Linked DNA regions of Cricetulus griseus. The protein of the gene in region 1 interacts with the protein of each later gene in a pairwise test. Links are inferred from orthologs where the notes say so. Each region holds a gene or a part of one and is shown on either strand. Other genes may lie near its edges.

Evidence for each region. The genes of interacting proteins can lie anywhere in the genome.
Region 2: the proteins of Cby2 (region 1) and Mettl17 interact in binary tests that used the Homo sapiens proteins (3 or more experiments, as listed by UniProt). The link is inferred for Cricetulus griseus from reciprocal best matches to the Homo sapiens genes CBY2 and METTL17.

What each region holds. Positions count from the first base shown.
Region 1 is NW_023276807.1:229,959,615-229,967,833, forward strand, and holds the start of Cby2 (protein chibby homolog 2), read right to left. Parts: upstream 4,099-8,219; coding exon 4,024-4,098; intron 3,702-4,023; coding exon 3,621-3,701; intron 2,986-3,620; coding exon of another isoform or gene 2,938-2,985; intron 1-2,937.
Region 2 is NW_023276807.1:206,952,070-206,960,027, reverse strand, and holds the start of Mettl17 (methyltransferase-like protein 17, mitochondrial), read right to left. Parts: upstream 4,239-7,958; 5' UTR 4,165-4,238; coding exon 4,087-4,164; intron 3,960-4,086; coding exon 3,806-3,959; intron 3,727-3,805; coding exon 3,592-3,726; intron 2,264-3,591; coding exon 2,182-2,263; intron 1,908-2,181; coding exon 1,826-1,907; intron 1,541-1,825; coding exon 1,467-1,540; intron 634-1,466; coding exon 539-633; intron 58-538; coding exon 1-57. UniProt on the Homo sapiens protein: Mitochondrial ribosome (mitoribosome) assembly factor. Binds at the interface of the head and body domains of the mitochondrial small ribosomal subunit (mt-SSU), occluding the mRNA channel and preventing compaction of the head domain towards the body.

The DNA of each region.
Region 1 (8,219 bases):
TCTAGATGAGGGGGGAAGATGCACTAGATTCTAGAAGCAAGAGAAGAATTAGAGCTAAGACATCACCTGAACCCACTGAATAGCATGACAGGCTGGACACTGACCTGGGTTAAACCTCAGCTCTGTCCTTGTTACTGAGTATTATAAGGAGAGCCGGTGATCCATAGTCCATAAGGTTAAGATATTTTTATACTGATAAACGCCAGCCAACACAAGCCAGAGCATGCCAGGGACCGCAAGGCAGGCAGGCCAGAGAGAAGGGGAGCCCACGTGCCTTGCAGCTCCTTAAAAACCCATCATGCATCATCCTGACCTCACCTTGACCATGCCTGTCAGGGTGTGGTCAGGCACAGCTGTAGCCACCACCCCTTAGGAGGCGTGGTTACGGTGTCTCCCTACAGAGTCTCCCAATTCCAACAGCTGTGAAATCTCTGCCTTATACTTGCATGGCCCTGTGGCCAACAAGATATTCTTCTTCACCTTGTTTCTCATAATAATCCTGCCCCACTATCCCATTTGGGGAGGTACATGAGCATATAGGCCCTTCTCACAGCCAGATGGGTGGGGTCAGGGTTTTTTTTTTTTTTGCAGATTTTTAATTAGAAACAAGATTGTTTTACATGACAATCCCAGTTCCCGCTCCCTCCCCTCCTCCCCTACTACCCACCCCTAACTAAAACCCTACCTATCACCTATCCTTTCTGCTCCCCCTGGATGGTAAGGCCTTCCATAGGGTGTCATCAGAGTCTATCTTATCCTTTGGGATAGGGCCTAGGCCCACCCCCATGTGTCTTGGCTCAGGGAGTATCCCTCTATGTGGAATGGGCTCCCAAAGTGGGTGGGTCAGTTTACATCATCTAGTAAACTACTTCCCTACCCAAGAGGACCGGTCTAGGGTATCCTGACAGGTTGTCTGACTTGTGCCTGTAACATCCTGGCAGGAATGAAGATATTCTAAAGAGATTCTTAAGTCCATCCTTCTAGATATCAGATTATTGAAACAATGGACACCAAAAAAGTTCTGCTGTAGTCTTATGTTTGAAAAAGGTAAAGGCTGAGAAGGCTGGTGCCAGGCCGAAGGAAGATTGTCTCTCAGACATTTCACACATCATAACTTGTCAGACCACCCTGCAGAAGAGACTGGGGATGACACAATGATGCTGGGCTGGACCACTCCCAGACCAGGACTGCTTAGTTATGTGAACCTCTGCACCTCTACTTAAACCCAAATTTCATGTTCAAGATGTCCTCCGAGGACCACTAACACCTCGTTCCTCCTTCAGGTGTTGCCACACTGAAGAATTATCCTCTTCCTGCTTTTCAACACCAGCTGCTTACTTAAGTGACCTAGAGATGACTGCTGACTAAGCCTGGCTGGCCATGAAAAATCTCCAGACAGCAGTGACCTCTTCCTTCCATATTCTTCTGCCTTCCAAGATCCAGGTCCCACAGCACAGGAAGTAGGCCTGAAAGGACCAGAACAAACCCAAGACTCCTCAAACACCTTTTCTCCTTGACTGCTAAGCTGGCGCTGGGAGCTAGGGACAAAGTCATGCCAGGGGTAGATGGATCTTTCTAATCTTTCTATGGCATGGCAGTAATGAAGGCTTTGTGTCAGCTTGCTAGATTAAGAAACACCCAGGGCATTAGCAAGGCACACATCCTTGATGTGTCTGTGGGGACTTTATGGGGAAGGACTAACAGAGGGGAGGCCCATACTTAATGTGGCTAGTGCTTGAAGGGACCAGCTTCCCTTTTGGCAGCCATAATGACCAAACACGTGCTCTATGACCTTGTCTTAGTCACTAGAAAGTCAGATGCCTGCCTCGTGACAAGGAAACAATCAGAAGTTAGTCACTAGAAAGTCAGATGCCTGCCTCGTGACAAGGAGCCAATCAGAAGTTAGCTGATAGCGCTATGCTTTATGACCCTGGGTGTGCTTTATGGACAAGCGCACAGCAATGACGCACAAAGCATAGCAACCACCCTGGGAGGGCCTATGGGCCATAACAGCCAGTTGACCAATCAACACAGGGCAAACCCTCCAAGCCTGGAGGCACACCAATCCTGAGCCTGTGCATACCCCTAAACACTCCCCTTATGCTGCCCTATAAAGATCTGTATGCAGCAGCTTCAAACTGTCTTTGCTAGCCATCTGCCATGGTGGGTGGGTCAAAGACCCGAGCTAACATGGTGTTAGCTCGTTAAACTACAATAAAGCCTCATGCAATTTGCATCTAGCTTTCGCCTCCATTCTGTGATTGGGGTGGCCGAGGTCCTGGGCTAAGATTCTGGAAGCCTCAGCTTTCCAAGGGTCTTACAGTGCTCATGAACTAGCATCCTGGACTGAGAAAAACATGGATCTGCAGTGATGTGAGGCAGCGGCCCCACCCCATAGCTTCCACTTCACAACAGATTTACCCCTCAACCAAGATCCAAAATAAAGACTTCCTCCCTTAACTTGCTTCTTGCCAGGTATTTGGTCACAACAATGTGAACAGCAAGTAATACACCTACTTTCAAATCTTATTCCCAGCCCCATTCCCACTCCCACATCTGGGCTGGTATCTCCTGTCTGCCCCTAACATGTGGGCTAATAAAGGTACCAAAGGAACCACGGCCACCCTCATGCACAGATGTGTAGTTTATGTGTCAGGGATCAGACCTAGCAAGGTTCCTTGTTCTTCTATAGGATGCCCAGGACATAGTTGCCTAATAATCTGGCTTAGCTATCATGAGCTGAAAGAGATGTAACTGTGGCTGCTTACTACAATGCTGTAAGGAAAAAAAATACCCAGGTGGTTCTCTTGTCCTGTGTTTCTGTCTCCTTCTCACCATATTTGCTGAGCTCATTATAATTACACTAATAGAGAACACCAGCCAGAGATCCATCCTCTTTGTACATACCTCCTGAGACCAAACTTTTAGGGAAATTACCTGTGCCTTGGATCCCTCCATCCTACATTTCTCCTCCACTGGTTGCATGACCCTGGTCTTCCAATGAGCTCTTGGGTAACACTGGAGAAAGCAAGGCCACCCCTTTGTGACATAGCAACAGAAGGAACACTCAAGTAAAAGGGGGTCCCACTGAGAAAGTTGCTGTGTGCAGGAGATCTGGAGACCACAAGCTATAAGTGTTTTAATCATTCACTGGCTTCAAAAGAAACAAGTGAACATTCATCCCCAGTAAACCATCTTTGGCCCATGGCAGGGCTTAATCCTCTTGACCATTGCAAGTGGGCTCCATTCTGGGGTTTCAGCTCCTGTGTTCATTCTTATGCATCTGGATTCAAGGTTGACTCTAGTTCTCTACAGATGTCCTGAGTGGTTATACACTACCATGCAATGAAGGGTCTCCTTTGGGAAGGTTAGACTTTTGTCATAGTATCAACAAATCTTGAAAGGCTAGTGCTGGAGGACCTGACCATCCAACTCAGTCTCCTCATTCAAGGCCAGAGGACCCCAAGGTTCAGAGAATCCATGTGTCCTCCTCAAGACAAATGGGCAGGAAAACAACACCAACATGACAAGAATCTGAGTGGCTGACTTCGCTGTTCATTCTGTAAGGCTTGGAAACAGGGTTATTCTAGCAAGTTACATTCTTCCATGATTGTCCCTACCTGAGGTAGAACCACATTGATTGGAATTTCTAGGCTTTCAGATCTGGTATCTCTCTTTCTTGTAAAAATTGGCCTCGAGTGCTGTGAAAAAGAAAGAATCAGATTTCTCCTTCTCAACCCATCCTCAGGGCCTCAGTGGCTCACCTGAAACACATAACCTCTTTCTACACATTTATGTCCTTCTGACTAATTTTATACCTTATAAAAATCACAGTCTCAAGGCATGTGTACATGGCGCCTGGCCAGAAGTCTTACTGCTCAGTGATCAGGAACTGATCGACACTGATCACTGAACAAAAAACCAAGACAGGAATGAACTGATATGAAGCCCTCTTACAAGAAGAAATCATTGCAGCTCTTCCTGGTTTTACACTACGATTTCTATATAAGTAAAAAGCCATACCAATGTGAGGTGCCAGGTATAGGTCCTATGCATAAGCTGGTCACCAAAACACTCAGAACATTCCAGAGGTGACATCACAGAACAATATGGTGTTTTTCTGAGCTCATGGTTTCTCTCCGGGCATCTCAGGTGGGAACGAGGCTTCTGCAGGAAGGAAGAATTGCTGCTGGCTGTGCTCAGGTGGCCAGCCCGGGTCAGTGTGACACACAATAGCCCTTGTTTGGTCAGCTGGCTGCCACTCACACCTCACTGCCAGGCTGGCTTGAACCTCTCTACCTCCCATCAGAGGTGGCATCTGTTTCAATCACATTAATTAGGAAAAGAGAAACATTAACTGTCTAGACCTGGAGAGACTTGGCACTACTGAGGAACTCCAGTCCAGTTCCACTCTGATAATAGCTACATGTCAGGTTCCGAGAAGTTAGGGGCTCGGCCCTAAAAGATGATCTTTTACTTCAAGTACCAATCCCATATCAGGGCCACCTGTACTTGTAACTGGTTAGCCATGCAGGGGTTACCCTAAGCTGCTCCTCAGGTTCAATAGCTGTCTCTCAGAACACAGGAGAGTAATTTACTTAGGATCACAACTTTAAGAAGCATGCAGCTCAGGAGGGGCCAAATGGTAATGATAAAGGGTGAGCTGTTTGACAGGGTAGTGTCGTAAACCTTCTGGCCTTCTCTGGACACACCTGCCTCCCAGCATCTTCAATGTCTGAACCCAGTTGTTTAGAGGTATTTGTGGAGTTCCATTATGTAGGCAAATTTTATCAAATCATTAGCCTTTGATCACTTAACTAAATGTCAAATCCTTCCAGAGGTAGACGTTTGCTGAAAATTCCAACCTTCTAATCACCTGATTGGTTCCTCTGACAATCACCCCCCACCCCCAAAGTCATTCCCCTAGCATAAACTGATGTGTTTCAAAGGAGGTCCTGTCAGGAAATCCCAAGGGTTTAAGAAACACTGTTCTGATAGAAAAATACAACCAAACATATCACATGTAGAACCTGCATTAAGGCCAGAACACTCATCCCTCCATCCTTAGCTCTGTCAAATCTGTCACCTCCAGATCCATTTAAGAGCCCCAGTTCTGTGTGATTTTGCCCCTTGGGGTAGGAAGAGAGTAGGTTTCCGGGGTTTCCTCAATGAAACCCATGTTCCTGGGGTCTGGATCAGTCCCATGCTGGTAACCCAGCTATCAGTCTGGGGAGCAAGAGTTCCCCCATGTTCAGATCAGTTGTTTCTGTGGGTTTCCAGCCTGGTCTGGACCCCTTTGCTCTTCACTCGTCCTTTTCTGCATCTGGATTCCAGTTCAGTTCAATGATTAGTTGTGGGTGTCTGCTTCTACTTCCACCAGCTGCTGGATGAAGGCTATAGGATGGCATATAAGTCAGTCATCAATCTCATTATCACGGGAGAGCATTTAAGGTAGCCTCTCCTCTGTTGCTTAGATTGTTAGCTGGTGTCATCTTTGTAGATCTCCAGACATTTCCCTCGTGCCTGATTTCTCTATAAAACTAAAATGTCTCCCTCTATTATGACATCTCCATTCTTGTTATCTTCTATTCTTCCCCTGACTCAACCTTTCTGCTCCCTCATGTCCTCCTCACCCCTCCCTTCTTCCCTTCTCATTCTCCTAGCTTCCTCCCCGTCTTCCCATGCTCTCAATTTGCTCAGGGGATCTTGAACCTTTCCCCTTTCCCCTTTCCCCAGGGGACCATGTATGTCTCTCTTAGGGTCCTCCTTGTTTACTAGTTTCTCTGGCAGTGTGGATTGTAGGCTGGTAATCCTTTACTCTATGTCTAAAATCCACATATGAGTGAGTACATATGATGTTTGTCTTTTTGTGATTGGGTTATCTCACTCAGAATGGTTTCTTCTAGTTCCATCCATTTTCCTGCAAATTTCAAGATTCCATTGTTTTTTTCCACTGAGTAGTACTCCATTGTGTAAATGTACCACATTTTCTCTATCCATTCTTCAGTTGAGGGGCATCTAAGCTGCTTCCAGTTTCTGGCTATTACAAATAGTGCTGCTATGAACATCGTTGAACAGATGTCCTTGTATGAATGTGCTTCTTTTGGGTATATGCCTAAGAGTGGAATTGTTGGATCTTGTGGTAGACTCATTCCCATTTTCTTGAGGAATCACCATACTGATTTCCAAAGTGGCTGTACAAGTTTGCACTCTCACCAGCAGTGGAGAAGTGTTCCCCTTTCTCCACATCCTCTCCAGCATAATCTGTCATTGGTGTTTTTGATTTTAGCCATTCTAACAGGAGTAAGATGGTATATCAGAGTTGTTTTGATTTGCATTTCCCTAATGGCTAAGGATGTTGAACTCTTTCTTATGTGTCCTTCAGCCATTTTAGATTCCTCTATTGACAATTGTCTATTTAGTTCTGTACCCCACTTTTTAATTGGATTGTTTGGTGTTTTGGAGACTAGCTTCTTGAGTTCTTTGTATATTTTGGAGATCAACCCACTGTCAGATGTGGGATTGGTGAAGATCTTTTCCCATTCTGTGGGCTGCCGTTTTGTCTTGCTGACTGTCTCCTTTGCCTTACAGAAGCTTCTCAGTTTCAGGAGGTCCCATTTATCAATTGTTACTCTCAGTGTCTGTGCTACTAGTGTAATGATCAGAAATCAGTCTCCTTTTCCTTTAATTAATTAAAGGCTATTTTCTACTTTGTCTTCTAATAGGGTTAGTGTGGCTGGGTTTATGTTGAGGTCTTTGATCATCTTGACTTAAGTTTTGTGTATGGCGATAGGATTGAGTCTATCTGCAGTCTTCTACATGTCTGCATCCAGTTATGCCAGCACCATTTGTTAAAGATGTTCTCTTTGTTCCATCGTATAGGTTGGGATTGTTTGTCAAAAATCAGGTGTTCGTGTTAGACCCCCGGAAAACTCAGGTATCCAGGGTCCCAGGCCACGACCTCGGTCACCCCAATCACCAGGCAGACTCCAGAGCTTGCTGCAAACTGCATGAGGCTGTATTATAATTTAACGAGCTAACCCCATGTTAGCTCGGGTCTTTCACCCACCCGCCATGGCAGATGGCTAGCAAAAGACAGCTCCTAGGGACTCCCAAGAGATCTTATAGGACAGCGTAAGGGGAGTGTCTAGGGGTACGCACAGGCTCACGATTGGTGTGCCTCCAGGCTTGGAGGGCTTGCCCTGTGTTGATTGGCCAACTGCTTGTTATGGCCCACAGGCCCTCCCAGGGTGGTTGCTATGCTTTGTGCGTCATTGCTGTGCACTTGTCCATAAAGCACACCCAGGGTCGTAAAGCATAGCGCCACCAGCTAACTTCTGATTGGTTCCTTGTCACGAGGCAGGCATTTGACTTTCTAGTGTCTAGGACAAGGTCATAGAAGCTCGTGTTCGGCTATGACTGCCGAAAGGGGAGCTGGTCCCTTCATTCGTAGGTGTATGGGTCAATATCAGGGTTTTCATCTCTATTCCATTGGTCTACCTGTCTATTTTTGTGCCATTACCAAGCTGTTTTCAGGACTATAGCTCTGTAATAGAGTTTGAAGTCAGGGATGGTGATGCCTCCAGAAGTTCCTTTATTTTACAGGGTTGATTTGGCTATCCTGGGTCTTTTGTTTCTCCATATAAAGTTGAGAATTGTTCTTTCAAGGTCCGTGAAGAATTGTTTTGGGATTTTGATGGCCATTGCATTGAATCTGTAGATTGCTTTTGGCAAGATTGCCAGTTTTACTGTGTTGATCCGACCTATCCAAGAGCATGGGAGATGCTTCCATTTTCTGGTATCTTCTTTAGTTTCTTTCTTTAGAGACTCAAAATTCTTATGATTCAAGTATTTGACTTTTTTGGTTAGTTACCCCAAGGTATTTTATGTTGTTTGTGGATATTGTAAAGGGTGATGTTTCTCTGATTTCTTTCTCCACCAATGTGTCATCAGTATATAGTAGAGCTACAGATTTTTTTTGAGTGAATCTTGTATCCTGTCACTTTGCTGAAGGTTTTTATCAGCTGTAGCAGTTCCCTGGTAGAGTTTTTTGGGTCACTTATGTAGACTATCATATCATCTGCAAATAGTGAGAGTTTGACTTCTTCCTTTCCAATTTGCATTCACTTGATCTCCTTTTGTTGTCTTATTGCTCTAGCTAGAACTTCAAGGACAATATTGAAGAGGTATGGAGAGAGTGGACAGCCTTGTCTTGTTCC
Region 2 (7,958 bases), about 23 Mb from region 1:
GTAGAAACTGTCTGAAAAAGACACCTGGGATACAGGGCTTCCCTGATTCTGAACCACCTACGGAAGAAAGATGTGGCAGCAAAGACAGAACATAAACTTTATAGCCAAAGTTTACACTCAGTGAAGAGACATTCCTCAGATAACCCCAGCTGAGAGGTGCAGGACTGTAATTAAAAACGTGGCCTACTAATCCCATCCAACCAACCAGAGTCCCATAAAGGCCTCTAATATTGTCTCACTGTAATACTGGAAGGAGCCCAGATTATCTCAATTAATTAATTAATTAATTTTGGCTTTTTGAGACAGGGTTTCTCTGTGTAGCTTTGGAGCCTATCCTGGCACTCGATCTGGAGACCAGGCTGGCCTCGAACTCACAGAGATCTGCCTGCCTCTGCCTCCCGAGTGCTGAGATTAAAGGCATGAGCCACCAACGCCTGGCCGATTATCTTAATTTATAACTCTCTCCTCTACATCCCAATAAAATTCTTTCCTAACTCCCTCAACTTTTGGAAATCCCTGGATTAGAGCTTGGTCTCACCTTTTAGTAGCTTTTCAGCCAAACCCAACATGGCTGCTGAACTGTCCACACACACATATTCACGGAGGCTCTGGCCCCAAGTACTGTGAGCAGCCCTGAGATGGCAAGATGAAAACCACCAATTTTTATGACACACAGTCATTCCTTTTTTTTTTTAATGATTTATTTATTTATTATGTATACAGTTTTGGCATGCTAGAAGAGGGTACCAAATCTTACTATAGATGGTTGTGAGCCACCATGTGGTTGCTGAGAATTGAACTCAGGACCAGTGGAAGAGCAGCCAGTGCTCTTAACCTCTGAGTCAGTCATCTCTCCAGTCCCGACACGGTCATTCCTCTAAGAAACCCACCTGCTCTCAATCCCGCCCCTGGGGAATCAGGGCATTACATTAAAACAGATAAGCTAACAGTGTTATTTTATGTTCTTGGTACATTTACAACTTCTGAAATAAAAGGCAGATGATTAAAAAAAAACAAAACTGACTTGTAGACAATTTTTTTTTTTCTTTCTTCAAGACAGGGTTTCTCTGTGTAGCTTTGGAGCCTATCCTGGTACTCGCTCTGGAGACCAGGCTGGCCTCGAACTCATAGAGATCACCTGCCTCTGCCTCCTGAGTGCTGGCATTAAAGGAGTGTGCCACCAATGCCCGTCGACAAAAAATTTTTGATTGGCATGTAAAATCTATTCCCTACACTAAATTGCTTTCTCTTTTAACCCAAGTACTGAACCTTTTTCATGTGCACTGCTTTGAATCTGACCCTAATGTGAACACCTTCTTTTGCCTTGTCTAATCTGAGGGCAACAACATTTTAGGTCTAACTTTCTTGTTCTCTAGTATCCCAGTTTTTTGACACTGAGGTGGTATTGAAGATCTGACTCTCTAGAATTAGAACTGACACCACCAAGGGCTAAGAAAATTATTTACCAGGTGACAGAACCAGTGCCGGATCCAAAGTCCATCAACGTTTGTGGCTGGAACTCTGGAACTCGAGCCTGGATCTGAAGAAAATACATGACACCCACAGAAAGGTCAGTTAGCCTTAGTGAAGGTTAGGGGACCGTGACAGAGGTGGAACATGAATGCTTTATAAGATTCAATAAAAATACTTTGAGATAGGAAACATCTCAGTGATGCTAAACATTTCTCAGGCCATAGAATTATTTCAAAGGATAATAGGATAATTAACGTGTTTATAACATTTCAAGAACTCCTTTCACAAAAGACTAATTTACAGGTAATAAAAACAACGATAACAGGGTCAGGTGGGAACATGAGAGACTCACCTCATGGAATGCCCTAGAAACTGCTGCAAAACCACCGTCCAATCTTGCTGCCATATATATCAGACTCAGCTCTTCATTATAACTGCAAATAAATAAATAGAAAATAAAAATCAGTCATCCCCCACCAGGAAATACACCAGCCCCACAGTGACCCTCGGACGTTTAGGAAATGAAAAATTTGCAGAGGACTCTTCTGGGTTTCCCTTCCCAATACAGAACAGTCCAGGAAGCTTTCTCAAACACAGAGGTGATTAATTCTCTCAGCTCTCCTCCAATTCAACGTTTCTTCTCTGTACCCTTTCTACAAGTCCTTATATTCAATGTTTCTTCTCTGTACCCTTTCTACAAGTCCTTACCTGAGTTTCTGCCAATGGTAGGTAGTTCTGCGCAGGGCATTCAGTACTGCCCCACGAAGTTTCTCCTCTGTCTGAGTTGAGTCTAGGGTGAGAAGGGCTGGAGGTGAGGACCTGAGAGAACTGGTCAGATCCAATGTAGTACACTGCCCACCTAATCCTCCCCCACGCCCACCTGAGAAAACGCTCCAAGTTCAAGAGAAGCCAAACCCAGAGAAACCTCTGGAGAGAGTAAACCACCACTGTCCCAGAGTGGACCGAACAGTATGTTGCCTCTGATAGTACCTTAGTCAACTTAACCTATCCAAGCTTCAGAGTAAACAGAAGTCTGATAAAAAAACTAATTTTTTTTACATTTATTTATTGTGTGTGTATAGGTCTGAGTCAGTTCTCACCTCCAACCATTTGGTAGAAGGTCATCAGGTTCTGTGGCACATGCTTTTACTCTGTGCTCTCTCTCCTACCCATGTGATAAAAATTTAAAAGCTAGAATAAGGACATCTTCATGGACATTTTCACTTCCTTTACACTTAGTAGTGAGACATCTTCAATATTCCAATAGAAAGGCGCTTGGAATCTAGGACTCATGAGTGTGTTGAGCTCAGGACCACGTAGTAAAATTCTATAAACACCCACTGCAGTGGTTTGACAGAGAACAGCTGCCACCGGCTCACTGACTGAATGCTCTGTCACCAGGGAATGGCACTATTTGAAGGATTATGAGAGGTGGCCTTTTTGGGGGAGGTGTGTCACTGGAGGTAGGCGTTGAAGTTTCAAAAGGCCATGCTAAGCCCATAGTCTCTTCCTGCTGCCTGCAGGCTCAGATGTTGGAATCTCAGTTACTTCTCCAGTACCATGTCCACACTCGTGCAGTCATGCTCCCCGACATGGTGACAATAGACTGAAACTGTAAGCTAGCGCCAATTAAAATGCTTTCTTTTATAAGAGTTGTCTCTTCACAGCAATAGAACACTAGGACAGCTACTCTGAACCAGGTACCGTGGGACATGAAGGGAATACAAGAATAAGGAGCAAATTTGCAATATAAAGTTCACAATCTTGAAAATAATCTGAAATGTAATCACTTTCTACTCCTGAAGTAGATCTCACTACTTACTGCCAGCCACCTATACGGCCTTTATTCTACCAGAATCAACATATAGTCATAATCTATCAGACTTGAAGAGGTAGGAAAAAAATGAAGAAAACAAAAAACCCAAATATATAAATTTCTGACCTTTATCCAATCTCCAAGGGCAACCTCTGGCCCAATCTACCTTCTAGTAGAGCATTACTACTGCTGTTACTACAACAACAAAAAAACGGCAGCATTTATCCGAGAGATTTGTTATTCCTTGCTCCTAACTTCTCACTGACATTTCAATATGGTTCACTTTTAGTCTTAAATCCTACCTTGGCTTTCTAGGAATTTTTTCTCAAGATCCGCAGCCCGTCTTTGCAACTCCTCAGGCTCTACTGGCAAATGTCGGCTCCAGAGATAGTTGGTGAGCGCCTGCACCTGCTTCTCTACATTGCGGACGGGTCTCTCTGTGGCCACAGATGGAAAGACATCACTATGTGGTGGCCTCGTTTGTTTCTTTGGTTTTCCCTTCCCGCAGTTTCTCACCAAGAAGCAATAACTGTGCTGCGTCAGCCAGTGCTTGCGGCAGCCGCACGTGCGGAAGACGCAGGATGCCAGGATGCTTACGATGGGGCGTCTTCCCCAGAAAATCGGAATTGTTGTCTACCTGGGACACACCGGGCACAAGGGCGGCGAAAGCCTGCAGACCGCGAAAGAAACAGAAAGGTTGCACGTGCCTGCTGCGGGAGGCATCGCCGAGGTCGCTCCTCCTCCGAGAGATGTCCCTGGAAACCAGCTCTTTGCCAGCAGAGGAAGGGTGCACTTACTCGGGACTGGGATCCTCGAAGGCTGCGGCACCATCTGCAGCACCTAATTAGAAGCTTCACCTCCTTGGCGGTAGCCATGGCTCCAGGACACACCGGAAACGGAAGTGCAAGTGTCTGTGACCATCAGCCCAAGTAGCTGAAAGCATCTTCCGTGGAACTTCGACCCGGACGGTGTCAACTAATGAGAAGAGGGAGTATTTGCTAGCAGCCAATAAGCGATCTGTATGTACATCTTTTTGCGACGGAAGCCGTACGTGGGAGGGGCTTAGTCACCAGAAGGGGCGTGGTCTCAAACTGCGCGGGCCTGGGGCGGAGACCAGCGGGGCAGGGGAGGGTTTGGGGACGGGGAGCAGCCTCGCAGGGGGCGGGGACTCGCGGGGCGAGGCCTGGGCAGGGCCAGGGGCGGGGCTGAGAGTTGGGTGGGCAGGTGAAGACAGAACGTGTTGACTTCCTTTGTCTTCGTTTGGTGCCAGAGAATTCTGAGCCTTGGCTGCTTTCCCCGAGTAAAACGGGAGAATACCGTAACAAAAATCAGATTTAGGTGACCAATGAAATTTAGGTGTAACGAAAGCTAATAATTATTATACTTAGCAATTTAATAAATATAAAGCCTAATTGATTTACTTTTTCTTCCGTTTGTTGGTTGTCTTTCCGAGTATGCTCCAGGCTTTCAAAGGTTAAGAACTTCCACATAGTACACCGAATTCCCACAAACCTCTGTTATTAACCTAATTTTTCATGTGGTTAAACGCGTACAAGATCGCGAGCTTATTAGGTGGCAGCTGAATTAAACGCTAGGGAATTGAAAGTCCGACTTATATCTTTAAACAACACTACACTGGGTATTGTTGGTCCTTGGAATGCAAATGAAGAGTTTTATGCTAAATGTTCCAAAGTGCTAACGTGTGGCATTAAAAAGGCCTCAGGGTGCTGTAAACTCTTGGTTCCTGGAAGCACGCTTTACACAGCTGTGGCTTCGTCTCTAACCTCGTGGCGGTAGAAGCATACCCTGCATAATCATCAGTACAGATAGAATAATTACGCGACCACATATGGGCAACTGTACTAGCTGGATACATCGGTGCCTGGTTTGTTTCTGGGTCGTAGAGATTTGACTTTATCAAATGACTCTCGAGCCTCGAGGGTGGGTGGTTGACAGCTGTGGAAATGTGCTGCCACCTACTGCACATTTCCTTTATTTCTCTTTGATTTTGTTTTTGTTGTTCGGAGGTCTCTAATAGCTCTGACTGGCCTGGAACTCACTATCTAGACCAAGTTGGCCTACAAGGCTTAGAACTCACAGAGATCTGCCAGCCTTTGCCTCCCAAGTGCTAGGTTTAAAGGCCTGTGCCCCATGCCCAGCCTCAGCTTTGCATTTCTTGTACTTTAGTTTTATGTTAAATTCCTGGCTTGTGCTGAACAATAAATATCACTGCCACTTACAGGTCTGACATGATAGAAGATTGAATGTGTTTTTTTGTTTGTTTGTTTGTTTCGTTTTTTGTAGGCAGGTATCAGAACATAGGGTATTACCCCTGGGGTCTGGTGGTGAGATTCTAGAGCAATGCCAGTTGATGCTTTAAAGGGTTGTTGTAATGATATGAAAATGTCTGGGTCAAAGTAAACCTTCAATAAATTTATGCTGCTATTTTTATGAGTACTTTTGGAATTCGAAGGGACATGATTATATATTTAAATTGTTATTCTTCATCCATATCATTTTAAAAACAGACATGAAAATAACAAGTTTTTGGGGGCCAGGTAAGACTGAGCACTGGGGAATGAGAAGAAATCAGAGAATTGGTAGTGTCTGTGAATGACATTCCTCTTTTCCCTATCAAATTGCTAATAGAGATGTAACTTCTTCATTGGAAATACAACATCTCAAGAACTGACTGTGGTGGTTTGAATGAGAATAGCCCCCATGGGCTCATATGTTTTAATTCTCCCCCCCCCCTTTGGTTTTTGAGTCAGGGGTATCGTTGTGTAACAGTCCTGGCAGTCCTAGAACTCCCTTTGTAGATCAGGCTGGCCGTGAACGCACAGAGATTTGCCTGCCTCTGCCTCCCAAGTGCTGGGATTAAAGGCATGTGCCACCACCGCCACCAGGTTGTGTTTGAATTCTTTGATCCCAGTTGGTGGAACTGTTTGGGAAGGATTAGGAGGTGTGGCCTTGCTGTGCTTTGAGGTTTCTCAGAAAACTGGTGCCATTCTCAGTGGCTCGCTCTGCCTTCTGCTTACAGTTCCATAGGTGAGCTCCCAGCTATTCCTGATACCATGCCTTTACTCTGAAAGTGTGGATGCTAATCCTCTGGAATCATTAACCTCAATTAAACACTTTCTCTTATAAATTGCTCTAATCAAGGCATCTTACAAAATCTCTACTTTTTACAAAATTATTATTTTTGTATGTGTATGTATGTGTGTAAATGTGTATATAGCGTGTGTATATGAATACGGTATGTGTATGGAATGTGTGATGTGTATAGCTGGTGTGTGTGTGTGGGGGGGGGCAGTGTACAGGTGTGCTAGTACCATAGTGTGTGTTTGGGGATCAGAGGACTTTTGGGAGAAGCTCCTACCTCCAATCATGTTGAGTCAAAGTCCCACTTGTTAGTTCTGCTGCTGGCCTGTGCACTCTAGGCTAGCTGGCAGCAAGCTTCTGTGCAGTTTTTCTGTCTTTCTCCATTTCACTGTAGGAGTGCTGGGATTACAGAAGTGCACTACTGTGCTTCTCCTCAGGCCTGGGTGGCTGGAGTTTAGCTCCTGAGCCATTTCTCCAGTTCTTCTTTCCTTTCCTTTTCTTTCTTTCTTTCTTTCTTTCTTTCTTTCTTTCTTTCTTTCTTTCTTTCTTTCTTCCTTTCTTCCTTCCTTCCTTCCTTTCCTCTTTCTGGGACAAGGTCCTGCTGTGTGGTTCTAGCACTGGCTTGGACCTTACTATGTAATCAGGCTGGACTCAAACTCATGGCAATCCTCCTGCCTCTGTTTCTCAAGTGCTGGGATGATAGGTGTGTGTGCACCACCCAAACCAGCTTCTTTCCCTCTTCCTCCTCCTCCATCTTCTGTTGCAGTTTTCCCACCACCCCTGCTGTTTTTCCTCTTCTCCCTCCCCTTCCTCTTCTCCTTCCCTGTTCCTCCTCATTTGATAACATCATTCTATGTAACCTAGGCTGGCCTTGATCTTAGGACCCTTCTGTCTTTGCTGCTGGAGTACTAGAATTTACAGGTACATGCTATCTGTGTTCTGGGATGCTATAATTTGAAAAGGGAAGCCATATCATATAAATAATATATTGTCCAATAAATGCATTCTTGTTTTTATTTCAGAACATCAATTGCTTTTGAAATTTTTCCTCTGTAAAACTTTGACTTATATTTATTATGTAAAGCTCATCTCAGACTTTTGCTGCTGCACCCCATGTCACAAGACTGTGCCTAACTTTGGGGGTCTAGGCATGAGAAAGCAGTTCTATTTTTCAGAGGTCTGGAAACATTGAACTGTGGTTAGGATGTATAACCCAACTAAACTTATTTCTTTTCCAAATTGCTCTTGGTATGTGCTTTATCACAGCAACAGAGAAACCTAACTAAGGCACCACGTTCCCAGATTTATGGGGGTAGTATGCTGTGTGATTTCCCTGTGATCTTTGACCCGTTTGCCACCAATTGCACCACTCCAGCTATGGGCTCCTCCCATGATGATTGGGATGCCAAGTGAGAGAATAGTTTCCTTCAAGATAAGTCAGGTCACTCCATGTACCTTCTCTCGTAAGTAGAAGAGGCCTCTACCCAGCCTGAGAAACTGCACACAAAGACCGGCAGACAGTTATAGATTCAGTCCTGGGGAGCTCAGTGAAGTCCACAGTTATAGT